Linked DNA regions of Arabidopsis thaliana. The protein of the gene in region 1 interacts with the protein of each later gene in a pairwise test. Each region holds a gene or a part of one and is shown on either strand. Other genes may lie near its edges.

Region 1 (5,990 bases):
CTGGATTGCACGCTTGCAAACCTGACAGGTTTTTATCCATCTTATCTCTGTCTTGACCATTAACCTGCAGACCATGGATAGCTTTTCTGTTTTAATGAAAACATCAGACAAGTTATATGTATTTTTTCACAGACCTGCAATTGCTTGGGCAACATGGGATCTTATCGCTATGGTGGACGATGGCAAACATGATGGGACTCCAACACACTCTGTAACCTTTGTGTGGAATGGACATGAGGTGACTGTTGCTTCACATGCTTTTATTACTTTGCTGCAATTCTTTATGGAACTCGTGATCTGTAGGGTTGAGCAACTAGCCTCTGTGTTTTAAGTTACACCTTGGTTTACAGGGGGAGGAGGTATTGTTGGTTGGGGATTTCACAGGAAATTGGAAAGAACCGATAAAAGCAACGCACAAAGGCGGTCCACGTTTTGAAACTGAAGTTAGACTTACACAGGGAAAGTAAGTCATGCTTCTTTTACCTTTCCCGTTGATGCTTTTTTTAAGGTTCAACAGTAAAACGTCTCATAATCTTCCCTGCATGTTAATTGTGACTTTTGAGGGATTGCAAACTGCAAAGAAACTTATGAAAATGCATTTGTGTCATATAACTTGGTGATTATTGACAATGTGGCAGATACTACTACAAGTACATAATCAACGGTGATTGGAGGCATTCAGCAACTTCACCAACGGAAAGAGATGACCGAGGAAACACGAACAATATAATTGTAGTTGGTGATGTTGCTAACGTCAGGCCTACAATTCAACAACCAAGAAAGGTTACTCCTACTATGCAGTAGTCTCTTCTTCATACAATAGGAAAAGCTTGAATAAGATGTTCCACGTTATATTTGCCTGATTGGTTCAAGACATAAACCTGAAGCAACTTGTACAATGTTTTGCAGGATGCAAATATCATAAAGGTGATCGAGAGAGTGTTAACAGAGAGCGAAAGATTTAGGCTGGCGAAAGCAGCTCGGTGTATCGCATTCTCAGTTTGTCCAATAAGACTATGCCCAAAGTCGTAGAAGTTTTGTTTTGGCATAAGTTAAAATGTTACATCCATTCTTCTGTCTCTATCCATTCCTCGAGGTACTTAACCCTAATATCGTTGTGAACAACATTGCCACATTCGCGCACTCTATGACAAGAGAATGTTGACATTATGTTGTGTGTTTGCATGAAAAAATGTCGACATAGTTTCGCCGTTGCCCACTTTACATATAAGTCCCAAAACCAACCCTAATGCGTTACTGGTCTCTGTATTTCTTCTTCATTTTCTCTCTCTCTCTCGCTCTCTCCTAACATGTTGAAGAAAATAGAAACTCTGTTATCTAATGTTGCCTATATGATGATTTATGGCCATGGAAGGTCTGAGAGGAGAGACCCTTCTTCTCTATTTTTTTTATTTCCTCTTCATTTTCATGCTAAGAGTTTTCACTGAGTCTGTTGTTTCGTAGAGTAGAACAGTCCATGATCGATGTTAATCCTTTGCATCTTCTAGATTGTGTATACAATAGCAATCTCTGGTCTAGAGAGAGCCTAGAGAAGTATGGATCTTTCTATATGTATACCACAAACAAATGGCCTAACATCTAAAGTGGGTGGTGATTATTTAAGATGAGAGCCTGAGAGGGTAAGTGAAAGAGGCTGATCCTTGTTTTCATGATAAGGGACCTTATCCTCTAAACCTTTCTGAGACCTTTTATTTTTTTATAAAAAAAAGAATTGAAAGAAGAAAAGAGCACGTAAAAGTTTTGAAATCTTGAGCTAATATTCCTCATCCACAAGAAAAGAAGAAAGTTTGTTATTCACCGCAGCTATCGCTTTCGTTATCCTCGTTCCCACAACCTCACCATGACCATGAGACTCCGTTCTTTTAAACTCCCAAATCTTTCAACCAATCCCATTATTCACTTAAGTATATAGTAGCTTCCATAAGAGTCTTAGTTCTAACTATAAATACACATATCTCACTCTCTCTGATCTCCGCTTCTCTTCGCCAACAAATGTCGACCGCTCCTCTCTCCGGCTTCTTTCTCACTTCACTTTCTCCTTCTCAATCTTCTCTCCAGAAACTCTCTCTTCGTACTTCTTCCACCGTCGCTTGCCTCCCACCCGCCTCTTCTTCTTCCTCATCTTCCTCCTCCTCGTCTTCCCGTTCCGTTCCAACGCTTATCCGTAACGAGCCAGTTTTTGCCGCTCCTGCTCCTATCATTGCCCCTTATTGGGTATACATTTTTACATTCATCACTGTTTCTTAACCTACATTATTTCTTACATAACTTACATTGCTGTTTACGTATAATAGGGGTACATTACATAGATAGCAAACTAAAGTTACAGAATTTTAAAATTTGTAAAGATTTTACGAAATTATTATATAGATTCTGCAATTGCCATTTTAGTGATAGGAACAAAAATCTTCTATAGAAACTAGCTTACGAAACTTCCACAAATCTTGGAAACTGTCACATGTGTTTCACATTTCAGTTTTTTTTTCCCTTGGTATTTCCTTATATTATCCTTACTATTATCATCCGTGTTTGACTTTTGGTCTTTAGCGTGGTACTGAAAGAATTACCCAAATTAACAAGAATCAAACTAAAGTTGCTTAATTAGTGAATCACAAGCAAGGGAAGAGTTCATTTTCAATCCTTATTCTATACAGATCTTCAAACTACTTGCTTCGACATCTAGTGAAGTTAAAAACAAATCACCTCGAAATATTAAAAGCGTTGTCTCATTCCTACCCAAGATCCGACATTTTTGAAATTTTGAGAGTTAGAACGTACGTAGGATCCACGTGATAAAAGAAAAGTTGCTAGTAGTAGCTTCAACAAAAACGATTCATGAAACTGAGACGTGTGTGTATGCACATGTACCATATGAGAGCGTGTGGAGCATAGTGGTGATTAAGTCGCCATCTATATTTATTCATTCAACCTACCGATTTGGTTCCTACTAGCGAAAATAAAATCATAATATAAAAGACTATAAAATTGTACTTTATCGTATAATGAAGTTCTGAACAGGTTGATTGTAGTTTCAACATTTAAAACACGTCATGACTCGCTCTCTACTTAATTACGTTCACGACAATAAAATATACTAGTACTCATTTTCTTCTAATTTTATTTGGTCAACCAACTTGCAGAGTGAAGAGATGGGAACCGAAGCATACGACGAGGCTATTGAAGCTCTCAAGAAGCTTCTCATGTAAGTATATACATCTTTTCTATTCGCATGCATACATTAATACATGATTAGATTAATAAAAGCTAAAACATTATTATAAATTAGTAACGGGATTTTTCAATACTACTTAATTCATAATTTTTGTGATTTAACTATAAATGTATATAAACATATGGCAGCGAGAAGGAAGAGCTAAAGACGGTTGCAGCGGCAAAGGTGGAGCAGATCACAGCGGCTCTTCAGACAGGTACTTCATCCGACAAGAAAGCTTTCGACCCCGTCGAAACCATTAAGCAGGGCTTCATCAAATTCAAGAAGGAGAAATACGAGTAATATATATTTCTATTTCATTTGTTTGTTCTTAATTATGTCACCAACTAAAGTGGTCTAGATTAATTAACTGGTTCATATTTATACTTTTATTTGCAGAACCAACCCTGCTTTGTACGGTGAGCTCGCAAAGGGTCAAAGTCCTAAGGTAAATTAAAAATAAAACTAATACTATGTGTATATCATGGTTGCTTATAAATTAAAAATGAAACATTAAGAAAAAGTAATTAACAAAGGTGTGTGAATGGTGGTGCAGTACATGGTGTTTGCTTGTTCAGACTCACGTGTGTGTCCATCACACGTTCTGGACTTTCAGCCAGGAGATGCCTTCGTGGTCCGTAACATAGCCAACATGGTTCCTCCTTTCGACAAGGTTAATAATTTAACACGTCTGTCTCTCTATAGATATAAACTCTTCTATCTTAAACCTTCTGCCTCTTGAGTCTTGACTTTTGTCTTGAGAAGTCGTGACATTCACTTTCTATTTTCATTTTTGGGTTGCTAAATTGGCAGGTCAAATACGGTGGCGTTGGAGCAGCCATTGAATACGCGGTCTTACACCTTAAGGTGAAAATAAAATAAAATAATTAACACCTTAACCAAAAAAAATTATTTATCAAAGTACATGTAATTAATTTTTGAATGAATTTATTACTGTAGGTGGAGAACATTGTGGTGATAGGACACAGTGCATGTGGTGGGATCAAAGGGCTTATGTCTTTCCCCTTAGATGGAAACAACTCCACGTAAAATATCTCTATATCCATTTTATTAAAATTTAATCAATTTTAATAACAGGATTTATTAAATGAGATTAGTAAAAAATATATACGTTAATTGCAGTGACTTCATAGAGGACTGGGTCAAAATCTGTTTACCAGCCAAGTCAAAGGTTATATCAGAACTTGGAGATTCAGCCTTTGAAGATCAATGTGGCCGATGTGAAAGGGTATACAAACACATGTTAGATCGATGAGCTGATCATATATAACAATATAAATGTATTGATAAATGCAGGAGGCGGTGAATGTTTCACTAGCAAACCTATTGACATATCCATTTGTGAGAGAAGGACTTGTGAAGGGAACACTTGCTTTGAAGGGAGGCTACTATGACTTCGTCAAGGGTGCTTTTGAGCTTTGGGGACTTGAATTTGGCCTCTCCGAAACTAGCTCTGTATGAACCAATCCATCATCATCATCATCATCATGACCATCCATCATCATCATCATTATTATCATCGTATATAATATATATCTACCCCATATGTAATTTGTAATGTGCCTTTGACTGTGATGAGTTATCTCTCCCTCTCTACCAACTTTCTTCATATATATAAAACAAAAAGGAAAAGCAGATGATATAGATCTTTCGTGGTTTAATTATGAACAATTGTCTTTATTATTTGTGTATCAAATCGGTTGTATTTATGGTTTGATTTTATTTTCTATGTTGTTTGGTAGGTTAAAGATGTGGCTACCATACTACATTGGAAGCTGTAGGAAACTCTTTGAAGCCTTACCCGATTTCACATTGTCAATTCAATAACACCAAGTTGTTGTTTACATGCAGATCTTGATGAAACTGGTTTTTGATTTTACAGAATTAAAATCTTGGGGGACAGAAATTTGAATAAAAACTAAAAAAAAAAAAATCAAAAAAAAATCATTGAATCGTAAATAAGGATATCCGGGACGGGCGGATCCGGATAATGAAAAAAATGAACCCGGATATCCGGATCCGGTACCATTAACTACATGAAATAAAAAGGCTTGGAAACCCATTTAGCTAAAAGCCCATATATTTAACAAACCAAATATTTTTGATACCCAAGCCCAATTAATTATCACTTGCCGACACAAACACAAAATCATTCTTTGAAGGTCACAAAATCATTTCGATCTCTTCTCGATATCTCACAAACCCTAGAACTCTGGATCTTTTAATTTCTGGGTTCGATACCCAAATCCTTAAAACTGTCGAATTCTGGTACCCGGAACCCGGATATCCCAGTCTAACAGATCCGGATGCGGATAGTGAAACTGTAGATTTGTAGCTTCGTAGTTTTTTGGTCATATAAAATATAAACATCTGAAATTTGTCTGTGTATGTTGCTGTTTAAATTTGTCCGCCTACACATTATGGGCCTAGGCCCAAGTTTGCAATTCTTTATTGTGGCAATTAAATGGTCAGGTTCGGTTTAGGTTTTACATATCCATCATGAAAAAGCACCGTTGAACGGGCTTAAATCTTTGTCCAAGGACGACGTTTATGAATCCGGTATAAATCGATCGAAGAAGATTAAACCCACAAAACGAAAAGGCTAAAGCTTGAGGAAAAAGTAGCAAAGTGACCAAGAGTCCCATGATTTCATGAAGACATGAACTATATATATCTACTCATTGATTTGATAAATACATTATATTTGATGTTACATATTTTTATTTGAGATTTCTAA
Region 2 (4,334 bases), on another chromosome or scaffold:
CTATACTATCACAAACCGTGAAGGTCGGATCTCTTTCTTGATTTGGCCGACACATCTGATCTAACAATGGCGACGAACAACATCGTACGTTTGATCGCTCCAAGCCGATCCGTCTCCTCTAGATTCCTCGAGCCAGTGTCACGGTTTCTAAGCTCCGGTACACCTCCTCCGCCGCAAGCTCCATCTCCGAATCAGGATCTGAACCGGGACGTGAAGCCAGATCAGAATCTTCAACAGAATCTGCAGATGCAGAAGGAAGAAGAAGAGGAAGGAGAAGGTGGTGGAGGTGGAGAGTTTGTGAACGAAGATACTGGTGAGATTGGAGGGCCTAGAGGTCCTGAACCGACTCGGTACGGCGATTGGGAACAACGTGGTCGATGCTCTGATTTCTGAGAGGATTCATGTATCCCTGTGTTTTAGCTTGTTCTTATATATTTCTGGGAAAAATGGAAATAAATTCGTTTTATGTGTTTATGTATTTGCAAAATAATGGAGAAAATGGAAGAAAATGTAGTAGAACTTCAAATTCGTTGCCTTTATTTGGATCATCATTCTCTGGTGATCTTGTTATTCCAGTAATAGTTAATAAGTTCTTCCTCAGGTGGGTTAAATGTGCATCTATACATCTCTATCTAAAAAATTTGGGACACTTTAATACAGGTTTAGTGATGATTTAGAATTAAGGAAACAACAAGAGATGAGTTTAACTAACCTGAGAGTTCAGAGTTCAGGTTTGACATTACCCGGTGGTTACATGAGTTCTGGTCCAAGTTTAGGCATGGCTGCATGGGTCAGTGAGATGATGTCAAGGTATTTCTGTTGTTCAACAACATTGCAATGTGCACTTCTGTGATAACTACAATTGCACAACTGGGTGATGCTCAAATTACAATTAAATCCGTATATGATATAAAATTACAATTAAAAATATCAGTTTACATGATATATGTATTATGTTCCAATACTCTTTAAAAGTTAGAAAAAGATTGGCATCATCATGCATTTTTTTTTTTTTTTTTTTTTTGAAGTTCTTATAACTTTACTCCGATCAAAAACTAAAAAAAAATACAAGAAAATGATCATATAAAAAGCATTTTGACTTCTTCTTCTTCTGTTTTAGATTATTCGATAGAAGAAACGTGGCATTATAGTAAACACAGAAAAAAAGGGAAAAAAGGGTAACAATCAATTCAAGCGAAGCTAAGAAATATGAAGAGAGACCAGTAAAATATTTATGACGCAATTTTGCGGACCTCAACATAATTCACGATTAGTTAACATTTTTGAAGAGAGTATCTGATCATGTGGTTAAAATTAAGACTAATCTAAATTTATCTTTGAAGAAGAAAGGATAATAATACGGATAAAAGTTTGAAAAAACGAACAGCTAATTATGAGCTGTGTAACGCCGAACAAGAACAAAAAAAACAAAGGACACACTGATCTGTTTTTGTACGGCTCTTAAATTAAATCATTTATAAAAAAAAAACATGCAGAGTCGTGTTTCAATTGATAAAGCCGATAATAAAACCAACTTGACGAAAGCTTTTTCAAGAACGAGGAAAAAAGGCCGTTAAGGCGCGTGGATTCTCAGCCGTCCGTTTCGTAACCGTAGACTCCACGCGCCTCTCGGGTAATTTTCGCAGGTGGGTGTCTCTGTTGATGATATGAACCAAGAAAATATCTTCAAATTATTGAACACAAAAGTAAGAAAAAAGTGAGATAATAAGGAAATTAAAACAATAAATTATCCTTTCGGTGGGATTTTTTTTGTCGTCTTCTATTGTTTTTGTGAGTGTGTGTGTTTATATAATGGTAAGAGATCTCTGATCTCTCAAGCTTCTCTATAGAGAGAGTTTCTTCTCATGCTCTTTCTACCAAGGAGAAGATTTTCTCGTTAATTTTGTTTGACTTGCCTCTTCGAAGCAACCTGATTCTGTGGTCTGAATCTTTTCAAGGTATATATGTCGGAACAAATTAGAGCATTGATTGATTCTTGTTCTTACATTTTCTATCGATCTGTTTCAAGAATTCTTGTTATTTCTGATTGATATTTTCGTGTGAATATATATGTAGAGATTTGTTCTTATCCTATTCGATTTGTAATCGTAAATGAGATCTGGTTACATAATGCTGTGAAAATTGTTGTCTGAGTCACATATTTCGTGTAGAAATGACAATGAAGTTTATCTGTGGCTAAAGAATCGACAATATATATTTTCATTTGATTGATGCAGGGAAGAGAAGATAAGCTAAACAAGAGAATGGTGACAGGTTGTGTTGATCTTCATCAATCTTTCAAATCTGCAGATTCATCTTCTGTGCCAATTCCTCCTCCTCTTCCATCAAAATCTGATGGACTCAAGAAAAAACTTGGGCATAGCAGCGTTTCGACAGCCACAAGAGATATGTGGGATCGTCTTTTCAATGACGGATACAAAGCTGATGTAGTCATCTATACAGATAATGGCAGTATCATCTATGCTCATGCCAACATCCTTGTAAGCTCTCCTTATAACTCCTTTGACCATAATTATCAATGTGTAGTTAGGATCTTTAGCTAAGCGAATACAGACTTTAGCAGTTGATTAGAAAGGTCTAGACTTGGTTGATATGGACATTGTCTTTCTTGAATTAATAGGGAACTGCTTCCACTGTGATCAAAGGCATGTTGAAGCAAGCCAAGAGACATGGCAAGTGGCATACAATATCAATCCGAGGTGTCCCTCATGATGCTGTGCGAGTTTTTATCCGTTTCCTCTACTCTTCTTGGTATATATAAATTCCATTTCTTCTTGCTCTCTATATTTATTTGCTCTGCCTCTTTTAACATTCGTCTTATGATCTTTTCACTGACGAAATCTGATTTCCTTTGTGTAGCTATGAGAAAGAAGAAATGAACGAGTTTATCATGCATTTGCTACTTCTGTCACACGCGTACGTGGTTCCTCAGCTGAAACGGGTCTGTGAATGGCATCTAGAACATGGTTTGCTTACCACTGAGAATGTGGTTGATGTGTTCCAGCTTGCGCTGCTGTGTGATTTCCCTCGGCTTAGCCTCATATCTCACCGTATGATCATGAAACACTTTAACGAACTCTCTGCGACAGAAGCATGGACAGCTATGAAGAAAAGCCATCCCTTTCTTGAGAAAGAAGTTAGAGACTCAGTAATCATCGAAGCAAATGTAAGTAGTGATTTAATAAACTTCCTTTTTTCCCTGTATTTTCTCCTAAATTCTAAATCTTGAACATAAACGCAGACGCGGAAAGAGAGGATGAGAAAACGCAATGATCAGAGGATATATTCGCAGCTATACGAAGCAATGGAAGCACTTGTTCATATATGCAGAGATGGATGTAAAACAATAGGGCCACACGATAAAGATTTCAAACCGAACCATGCAACGTGTAACTATGAAGCTTGCAAGGGATTAGAATCACTGATCCGGCATTTCGCAGGCTGTAAGCTAAGAGTTCCAGGAGGTTGCGTGCATTGCAAGAGAATGTGGCAACTCCTTGAACTGCATTCACGTGTTTGCGCAGGTTCTGATCAATGTCGAGTCCCTCTATGCAGAAACCTTAAGGAGAAGATGGAGAAACAGAGCAAGAAAGATGAGTCGAGATGGAAACTTCTGGTGAAGAATGTATTGGGGAGTAAGAAAATCGGAGGCTCTCCTTTCTTTTTACCGGTGACAAACTGTTAAAAAACATTTTGTCAATCTCAAGAAGGGCGAGTTTTAAGCGTTTCTTGTGATCCTATCTTTAAAACAAGTGTAACATAATGAGTTTGAATAAATGACACATATTTTGGTCGGCCAAGAGAGTCTCTGGAATATCAAATCCGGTCTACGGATCGGTTTAGTGATTAAGTGGCAAAATTGGTAATAAGCTCAGTGAGTCATCTTGTTGTGAAATGAACAGAAGAAGAAGAATCTACCAAATTTTATAGGACCCAACTTGCTTTGTTATTTTTAATAAATCCAAATATGGAAAAAAGGAAACGAAAAGATCGTGGTGGGAAAAAGTGACGTAGAACAAGACAAAAGCAGTAAGAGCTGAGAGGACGTGGTACAAGTGTACACAAAATCGGCCTCACTCACATCACATGTTTCTATTTCATTAAATTAGTAATGTTGGAAACATTCATTGTCACAAAACCAAATCCTCAACAATGATCGTATCATGTGTAGTATATATTTTCTTCTCCTTTCAAAATCCCTTTTTCTAATCACTTTCGTATTGGGTTCTGATTCCTTCAACAACAAAGAAACACAAAACTTAACCAAAATCAAGAAATTACGAAATTTTCATATATATATCTATCTATATTTA
Region 3 (7,418 bases), on another chromosome or scaffold:
TATATGTTGAATGTTCTAGTAACTAATGTGACCGTAACTAGCCTGATAAGCTTATGCAAAAAAAAAAAAACAGCTTATGCAAAATCATGGCATGTGAGTAGGCGAAAACTTATACAAATACAATCAAAATAATGTGATATTAATATAGGTATGTTTACATATCTCGTGAATTGATATCCAATGGACCTGCAAGATTTTCATCTAATATAACTTTCATTTTACGAAGAAAATTATACTTTGGAATTTGATGTGAGTCGTGAACTAGTCGTCTTTCTTACTTTTTATGATTATGAATCCTAACTTCTTGGTCCAACCTATATATATACAAAGATTTCATACCGAAAGTCAAATATATGATATTATGGAGATGTACTATGTGAACAACAAATGTATAATTATGAGACTGGTCCAGAGAAACATTAGATGGAAGCAGATTTGTAGTCCATGGACCAAAAGAACTAGTCCAAAACTTGATAATTATCAAACAAAAGTTTTTGATCAATTACAAAAGGAGTTAGGGAAGCATGTAACATAAACAATGACAACATATTTTGGATCAGTGAGCATATATAAACAATAAAAATACCATAATCCGATGAAAAAAATCATCAGAGATTTGCAAAAGAATCATTTATGATGGATCACCGCCAAAACACACACAAGGCCACAACCAACATAAAACCAAACCAAACCAAACCAAACAAAACATCCACACTAATATCACATACGACCACAATCACAAGTAAATACAATGAAGTCGTACAAATAAATGACCACCAAAAATTATATTTTTGTAAAGTAAGTCAGGGAAATCCAAAATCCTTAATAACCATGGGATTTTTTTTGGCACAAGTTATCGTGCTTTTGGGTTAATTTCGGTTGTAAAGCTTGTGCTCATTTCAACAGAACTTCTTGATCCCATGTCTTCTCTCACTCCTCGCTTTGAGTTTTCTAATGTTAGACATTGCTTTAGTTCATTAGTAACTTGAGACATGGTTGGTCTTTTCTCCGAAGAAGGATTCACGCAAGACATTGCTATCTCAAGAGCCTTCCAAACAGAAGTAGGCTCATAATCTCTATTGAGTCTTGGATCCACAACGTTCTCAATATCTCCCTTAGTAAGCATGTATCCCACCCATGCTGCTATGTGCGGCTTCTCTCGGGTTTGCTGAATCACAGGTCGACTTGTGATGATCTCCAATAATACAATCCCAAAGCTATATACATCACTCTTTTCGTTCAACCTATTTGTTCGATAATATCTACAAACAAAACATGAAGTATTTTTTTTTTCAAATGAATGAGGAAAAACAATTTGAATCAAACTAGTTTGGTGATGTAAAACTTACTCGGGATCCAAATATCCAGGAGTTCCAGCAACAGCTGTTGAAACATGAGTTTCACCTCCAACTGGAAATGATCTTGAAAGGCCAAAATCGGCGAGTTTTGCTTGGAAGTGTTCGTCTAAAAGTATATTTGTTGTTTTTACATCACGATGTACCATTGGAGGTTTGCAACCCGTATGCAAGTATTCTAATCCTATATTTATATAATTAAATTGTTCATGTTAGATGATCCATATAAAGTGATTAATGCATTTGAGCTAAGAACGAACCTTGCGCAGTTTCGACGACAATTTTTAGTCTACTTGACCACTTCAATGGAGAGCCACCCCGTTCTCCTATAATTAAGAAACTTTTAGTAATGTTATAAAAGCATGAACATTAAAATATGGCTAAGTAATCACTATTTTAAAATGTGGGAAATTCAAATTTATACCTGATAGATGTTGTTTTAAGTCTCCGTTCGGTGCATACTCATAAAGCAGGGCCAAGTTGCTTTCTTCATCACAATATCCAACCAAACTAACCAAATTGACGTGGTGCACTCTCAAAAGAAGTTCAACCTGACCACCCATGTCCAAACAAATTTAAGAGCCATCACATGTTACAATATATTCCATGTATTATGTATTAACATACCTCAGCTTTGAATTCCTTATAGCCTTGTACTGATGATTGAGAGAGTAGTTTAACAGCTATTGGTTGCGTACCATTTAAAATACCATGATACACTACCCCAAACCCTCCTTCTCCAAGAACTCTTTCAAAATTATCTGTTAATGCTTCTACCTCTGAATAAGTGAACCTTTTCGTTTGAGTAAATATAGACGGTCTATTTGGTAACCCATGTTGCACTGTAGGTAATGAATCAACTGTCACAACCAAAAAGTTCCATGAGATTAGGCATCTTTTGGTATGTCATCATCATGCATGCATGTTACGATAAGAATATATATCTCATTGTATAATTATGTACCTTGCGTTGGCCTTCTCTTTTTGAAAACAAGAATGAGAATCAGTACGGCTATAATGATGAGCACAGAAGCTACTGACGCAACAACTGGTACAATGTACGTTTGATTGTTATTATTTTTGCATGACGCATCGTTACACAACTTTGGGTTTCCTTGGATCCTTAAGAAAATAAGTGTTGTTGAATAAGACTATAGGTTGAGGAAAGTTGATAAAAAAAAAAGAAGGGTGAAAATCTTACGTTAGCTTAAGCCCATTCTTTTCTCTATCAAGAAGCAATTTAGGAAGAGGACCCGTAAGGTCATTCCAATTTAAATTTCTGTCAAGGTAAACACAAAATTACAATGTCAATGTAAAGTGACAACAAGTATACCTAGTGAAATATAAGTGGCCGGCCATTATGTTTGTTTATATCAACTTACATGATCGATAATGACTTCATGCTGGCTAGAAACTCGGGCACTCCTCCAGTAAAACTATTATTTGACAAGTCTCTAGTATTTATAAAACGTTAAAAAGTCAATCTATTTTCCGTTAATAGGATAAATAAAAAAATAGTATGAGATGAGATATTTTTTTTCGTCCAATTTGTTATAAGATGTGAAAAATTAGAAATATGTTGGTCACAATATAAATGTTTTCTCATGGATCGCGTTTAAGTAAAATACTAATAGCTCTTACAGTTTTCGAAGCTCGGTCAAATTTTGGAAGGCAGGCGCAATGACCCCTTTTAACCCTCGTGATGACAAATCTCTGTTCACAATATAAGAACATTTTTTCAGATATAAGATACTTAAGACTTAAGAGATTTAGGTTTCAATATGCTTATGAGATATATAATGATCGTACAAAGAAATAATTCTTGGAGGAGTAGACTTATTTGTGTAGCTGCATTTTAGATCTTCCCACTTTAATAGTTCAGGGACACAAGGATCTCCTTGCCAACTAATCATCTTCAATCCATAAAATGCTTCGATATCCTTCATAGCAGCGACTAACATAATGGTTCGAGGAGGAAGCCAAGAATTAGCATATAAAAGATTAAAGTTTCTTAATGAGGGTATGTACTAAATAAACAAAAATTCCACCCTATTATTTGCAAAAAAAAAAAAGATTAAGTTGGTTCATTTATCGCGCTATTTTTAACAAATATCATGTCATATTTCATAACACAATTTTTAACATGGTAGTACAATATTTCAAATTAAACACGATAAACACATGAATATTTTCTCCGTTTTGTGACCATTATTTTTCCCCCAATTTTGTGATTGTTTTTTTTTTTTTTGCAAATAAGCCCTTTCTTACAGAATAGAGAATGGAATAGTGGCGTACCGTCATTTGGATTTGTTTCAGCGTATGGAAAGTCCACAACCTTGAAAGCCTCAATAGCACTAATCAGCGGTGGAAGAGTTGACCTTGGAGTTCTAACGAGTTTCAAGTAGCACAACCCGGAGCTACATTTGTGAGGTGATAGGTTATATTTGGTATCTGATTGTAACATCGTAGGACTATATGCTGACTGAATAATATCTTCTTCCAATTCAATGTCGAATTCTCTAGTCTCATTGCCCCTCAAAGCTTGGATTTCGGCAAAGTGAAAGTACACGTTAACCTTGTCACTGTCGTCATCTAGAGACACGTAAAATCTCAATGGCAAGCTGGCATTTTCGGGCGTGATTCCCATCCTACTTACAGCTTCTGGTACTTGAAAGGGACTCGAGGATCTCACGTTGAGGGTGGTGTTCACATCCGTTTCAAATTCATTATATCGGTCCCATTTGCGATCAAAAATATCATCAGGATACCTAAAACCATTTTTGGAGTAGCCATGCAAAAGTAAATGAATCATGTTAGATTGTTTTTTTTTATAAAAGAGTTGCTAAAGTTGAGTTTACATACCGTATAAAACCGGTAGAATTGCTACTATAGGCCCGCCGGTAGATGAGGTCTAAGGGACCGAATTGAGTCAAATATGAATCATTTCTTAGTGGCCGTAGTTCCAAGGTTGATATCATTGGTATAGTTGATCCTGTTTTGACAAGACAAATCTGCAATAAGTTCGACGTTGTCATGTAAATGATCTCACGATCTTTTCCGAATTCCAAATCAACCGCAATCCACATGTTAGGCCCAACATGTAAATCAAATTTGGGATATACATTAAGACCATCATAATTTCCATATCCGAACCCTGCTCTTATCAAATAGTTGATGCCTTGCTCTACTTTCAGATTATAGCAGTTTCGTATTCCATCGGGAAAATATCTCAAATCCTTGTACTGCCTGTAGATATATGTGTTATCATCCCCAGCTTCACCACGTAAACCACTTAAAATAAAATCAGCATCAGATGAGAATGTTAATCCGGTTCGTGGGTCGGTATAAGGAGACTCATTAACGGGTAAACCGCAATCCAAACTGATGAATCCTGGCAAGATACAAAATGTATTATTAGTGAAAAATAATGTTTTCCTTTTGTTAGACCATGAAGCTTATAAGGAAGACAATCAAAAGTTTTGGAAAACAGAGAATCCTTTATTTTCTTTAACCAAATCTCTTATATCTGTAATCGTTAATATTATTTTCATGGTGGCTATGCGTACAACAAAGTAGAAATCGGTTAGTGATCTCGACCAGTCGAGCAAGAACACTCAACTACTTGGCTAATCCTTAAGTCTTTATGTGTCAAAAACTGAACATGAAGCAATTATTAAAAAAAGGTATATAGAGAAACCTCGTTGATCAGGCGGCTGAGCTTGAACAAGATGTGTAATGGCCAAAGCCCCAAAGATGAACACCAGTAAACGTTGACGACGACCTTCCATTTTCAAGTTAAGTTAACATACAAATTTTTGAAACCAAAGACAATCTGAAATATATGATACAATATATTGATTTTCTAGTACAAATGATAGAAATACTTTAGATGAAGATCAATTAAAATCCAAAACACATGTTGGCGTGGAATACTCTCCAATTATAGATTCATATCCAAGCACGACTGAAGAATGGTCTAACAAAGATATATACATTTATATTCCACTTTGTGGAAAAAAGAGAGCAATTTAATCATAAATCAAAGCACCTGATGTAATCTTTGTTTAAACAATGTAAAACCTGCCAAGTTGATCTAATGTCAAAGCTTTATAAACTATATGATAATTCTGCTAACGACTTGTACTTAACAACAACTTGGTGGATTTAATACATTTTGTTGACTTTCACTCAATTATAATCGCAATACCTCTGCAATAATGTAAAATTCTTGGTCTTCAAAAATAAACTAAGATTAGTCTTTTCTTGACAAACCCTAATATTCGTTTTGTTTGCCTGTATATGCATTATCTATCTATGGCTTACTCATAGACGTTAAGAGATAGCTGGCCTCTTATAGTTATAGCTCATATTCTCAGTATTACTATACATTGTCAACCAAGAAATTCTACATCAACCTTTGTTAATATCCCTTGTTAGGTGGGATTTAGTGGGAAAAGAGATCAAACCTTATTTTGGAAAGATCATTTCCAAACGCTACTGGACCATTATCCACTTGGTTCACAATTTGCTTTTTTAATGGAGCTTTGACAATCGGAAACTGTATGTGTTAACTATATAAAAATATTAATTATGTGATAATTCTTATTTTTTATTGTTGCTTTTTTAACAAGTTTGTAATAGTTAAAGTGTGGTTGTAAATATATTTTTAAAATTTAGTACTGGCTACCTTGATGCACATTATTTGTATAAATACCTGAGTTTGTAAGAAGCAAATCATTGAATCAAACAAAATGATCTTTATCTTTATTTTTTCCTGTCCATGTTGTAATATACGAATTCTCTCTTTTACATAATTATTCTACAACAAGTTACATAAGTTACGTCTATAATTATTGTGGATCAGACGTAATGTTTCTTTATGTGAATCAGACGTAATGTTTCAAATAGGTTGTAATATGTAATTGTTTTTCATATGTAGTAAATCCTTTTTTGTAACGACCGGGTTCAAACTAATTACTTAAATCAAACCTTGTTATATCCTTGTGCTCCAAGTCTAACGATCAATCGAAGATTTATTATGTTTGGTCAAGGGTTTAAAGAAGACATATACAAACCTTAATACAAGGAAATTCCTATACATGTCGGAGTCTTATGATCATAACCTATTATTTTAAACACAAGTTGGGGTTGGAACATGTCAAAGAAATTCACACAATAAACCAAAAATAAAGCAATTCTCGCAATTATTCAATCTTCATGTCTGGCTTAAGTTGACTTTCTTTAATGTATTATTCCTTCCAATCTGTGTATGTGAGGTATTTCTCATTTACGTAGCTCCTTGTTTTCACTAAGCAAGTCTTTTTTATGTTCTTGATTTCCATATTAGCTTTCCAAGAAGATGATGAGCCATCTTTTGTTGGCCATAATTGGAACCTTTGCCGTTATAGTTGGCGCCCAAAAACAAGAAGGTAATAATTTATAAACTCTTTAGTAGATATTCACCGAGGATCATCCATCCTTTAAATTGATATATCTTCTATATATAGTTTTTTTTTAAACTTCGTCGATCCTTTTTATGCTTGAACAGGTTTCATCAGTTTGGATTGCGGATTTCCTATTGAGGAATCTCCTTATAGTGATCCATCTACTGGATTAACATTCACATCAGATTCAACATTTATCCAGACTGGAGAAAGTGGTAGAGTCGATAAAGAGCTCAACAAAATATTCCGAAAACCATATTTGACTCTAAGATACTTTCCGGAAGGAAAGCGTAATTGTTAGTCTGAATGTCACTCGTGGCACAAATTATCTTATATTGGTTACCTTCATATATGGAAATTATGATGGTCTTAATATTTATCCAAACTTTGATCTCTATCTTGGTCCTGATAAGTGGGCAAGAATAGATATGGAAGGAAGACAAAATGGTACATTCGAGGAGATCATACACAGAGTGAGGTCAAGCTCTTTGGATATTTGTCTTGTTAAAACAGGACCAACCTCGCCAATAATATCATCTATAGAACTACGACCAATGAGAAATGATACTTATCTTACGCATTCAGGCTCACTGAGGAACTCTTTCCGGGTTCATTGCAG

What was found. The genes of interacting proteins can lie anywhere in the genome.
Region 2: the proteins of CA1 (region 1) and BT4 interact in a two-hybrid assay, tested with the Arabidopsis thaliana proteins (one large-scale study listed by BioGRID).
Region 3: the proteins of CA1 (region 1) and AT2G28960 interact in a protein complementation assay, tested with the Arabidopsis thaliana proteins (one large-scale study listed by BioGRID).

Annotation. Positions count from the first base shown.
Region 1 is NC_003074.8:193,897-199,886, reverse strand, and holds CA1 (carbonic anhydrase 1), read left to right. Parts: upstream 1-1,726; 5' UTR 1,727-2,013; coding exon 2,014-2,235; intron 2,236-2,322; exon of another isoform or gene 2,323-3,039; intron 3,040-3,161; coding exon 3,162-3,223; intron 3,224-3,381; coding exon 3,382-3,531; intron 3,532-3,631; coding exon 3,632-3,680; intron 3,681-3,788; coding exon 3,789-3,905; intron 3,906-4,045; coding exon 4,046-4,099; intron 4,100-4,192; coding exon 4,193-4,278; intron 4,279-4,375; coding exon 4,376-4,481; intron 4,482-4,549; coding exon 4,550-4,708; coding exon of another isoform or gene 4,709-4,714; exon of another isoform or gene 4,715-4,995; coding exon 4,996-5,034; 3' UTR 5,035-5,461; downstream 5,462-5,990. Other genes in the region: LSF1 (uncharacterized protein), read left to right, coding at 1-28, 133-238, 351-463, 639-783, 910-1,032. UniProt on the Arabidopsis thaliana protein: Reversible hydration of carbon dioxide. Required for photosynthesis in cotyledons. Binds salicylic acid.
Region 2 is NC_003076.8:26,930,427-26,934,760, reverse strand, and holds BT4 (BTB and TAZ domain protein 4), read left to right. Parts: upstream 1-1,935; 5' UTR 1,936-2,231; coding exon 2,232-2,501; intron 2,502-2,641; coding exon 2,642-2,772; intron 2,773-2,880; coding exon 2,881-3,187; intron 3,188-3,262; coding exon 3,263-3,706; 3' UTR 3,707-3,821; downstream 3,822-4,334. Other genes in the region: AT5G67490 (succinate dehydrogenase assembly factor), read left to right, coding at 67-393. UniProt on the Arabidopsis thaliana protein: May act as a substrate-specific adapter of an E3 ubiquitin-protein ligase complex (CUL3-RBX1-BTB) which mediates the ubiquitination and subsequent proteasomal degradation of target proteins.
Region 3 is NC_003071.7:12,437,205-12,444,622, forward strand, and holds AT2G28960 (Leucine-rich repeat protein kinase family protein), read right to left. Parts: upstream 5,389-7,418; 5' UTR 5,144-5,388; coding exon 5,053-5,143; intron 4,747-5,052; coding exon 4,218-4,746; intron 4,124-4,217; coding exon 3,651-4,123; intron 3,310-3,650; coding exon 3,165-3,309; intron 3,069-3,164; coding exon 2,997-3,068; intron 2,810-2,996; coding exon 2,738-2,809; intron 2,635-2,737; coding exon 2,557-2,634; intron 2,478-2,556; coding exon 2,320-2,477; intron 2,216-2,319; coding exon 1,983-2,215; intron 1,907-1,982; coding exon 1,780-1,906; intron 1,682-1,779; coding exon 1,616-1,681; intron 1,540-1,615; coding exon 1,350-1,539; intron 1,263-1,349; coding exon 854-1,262; 3' UTR 514-853; downstream 1-513. Other genes in the region: AT2G28970 (Leucine-rich repeat protein kinase family protein), read left to right, coding at 6,715-6,784, 6,904-7,095, 7,385-7,418.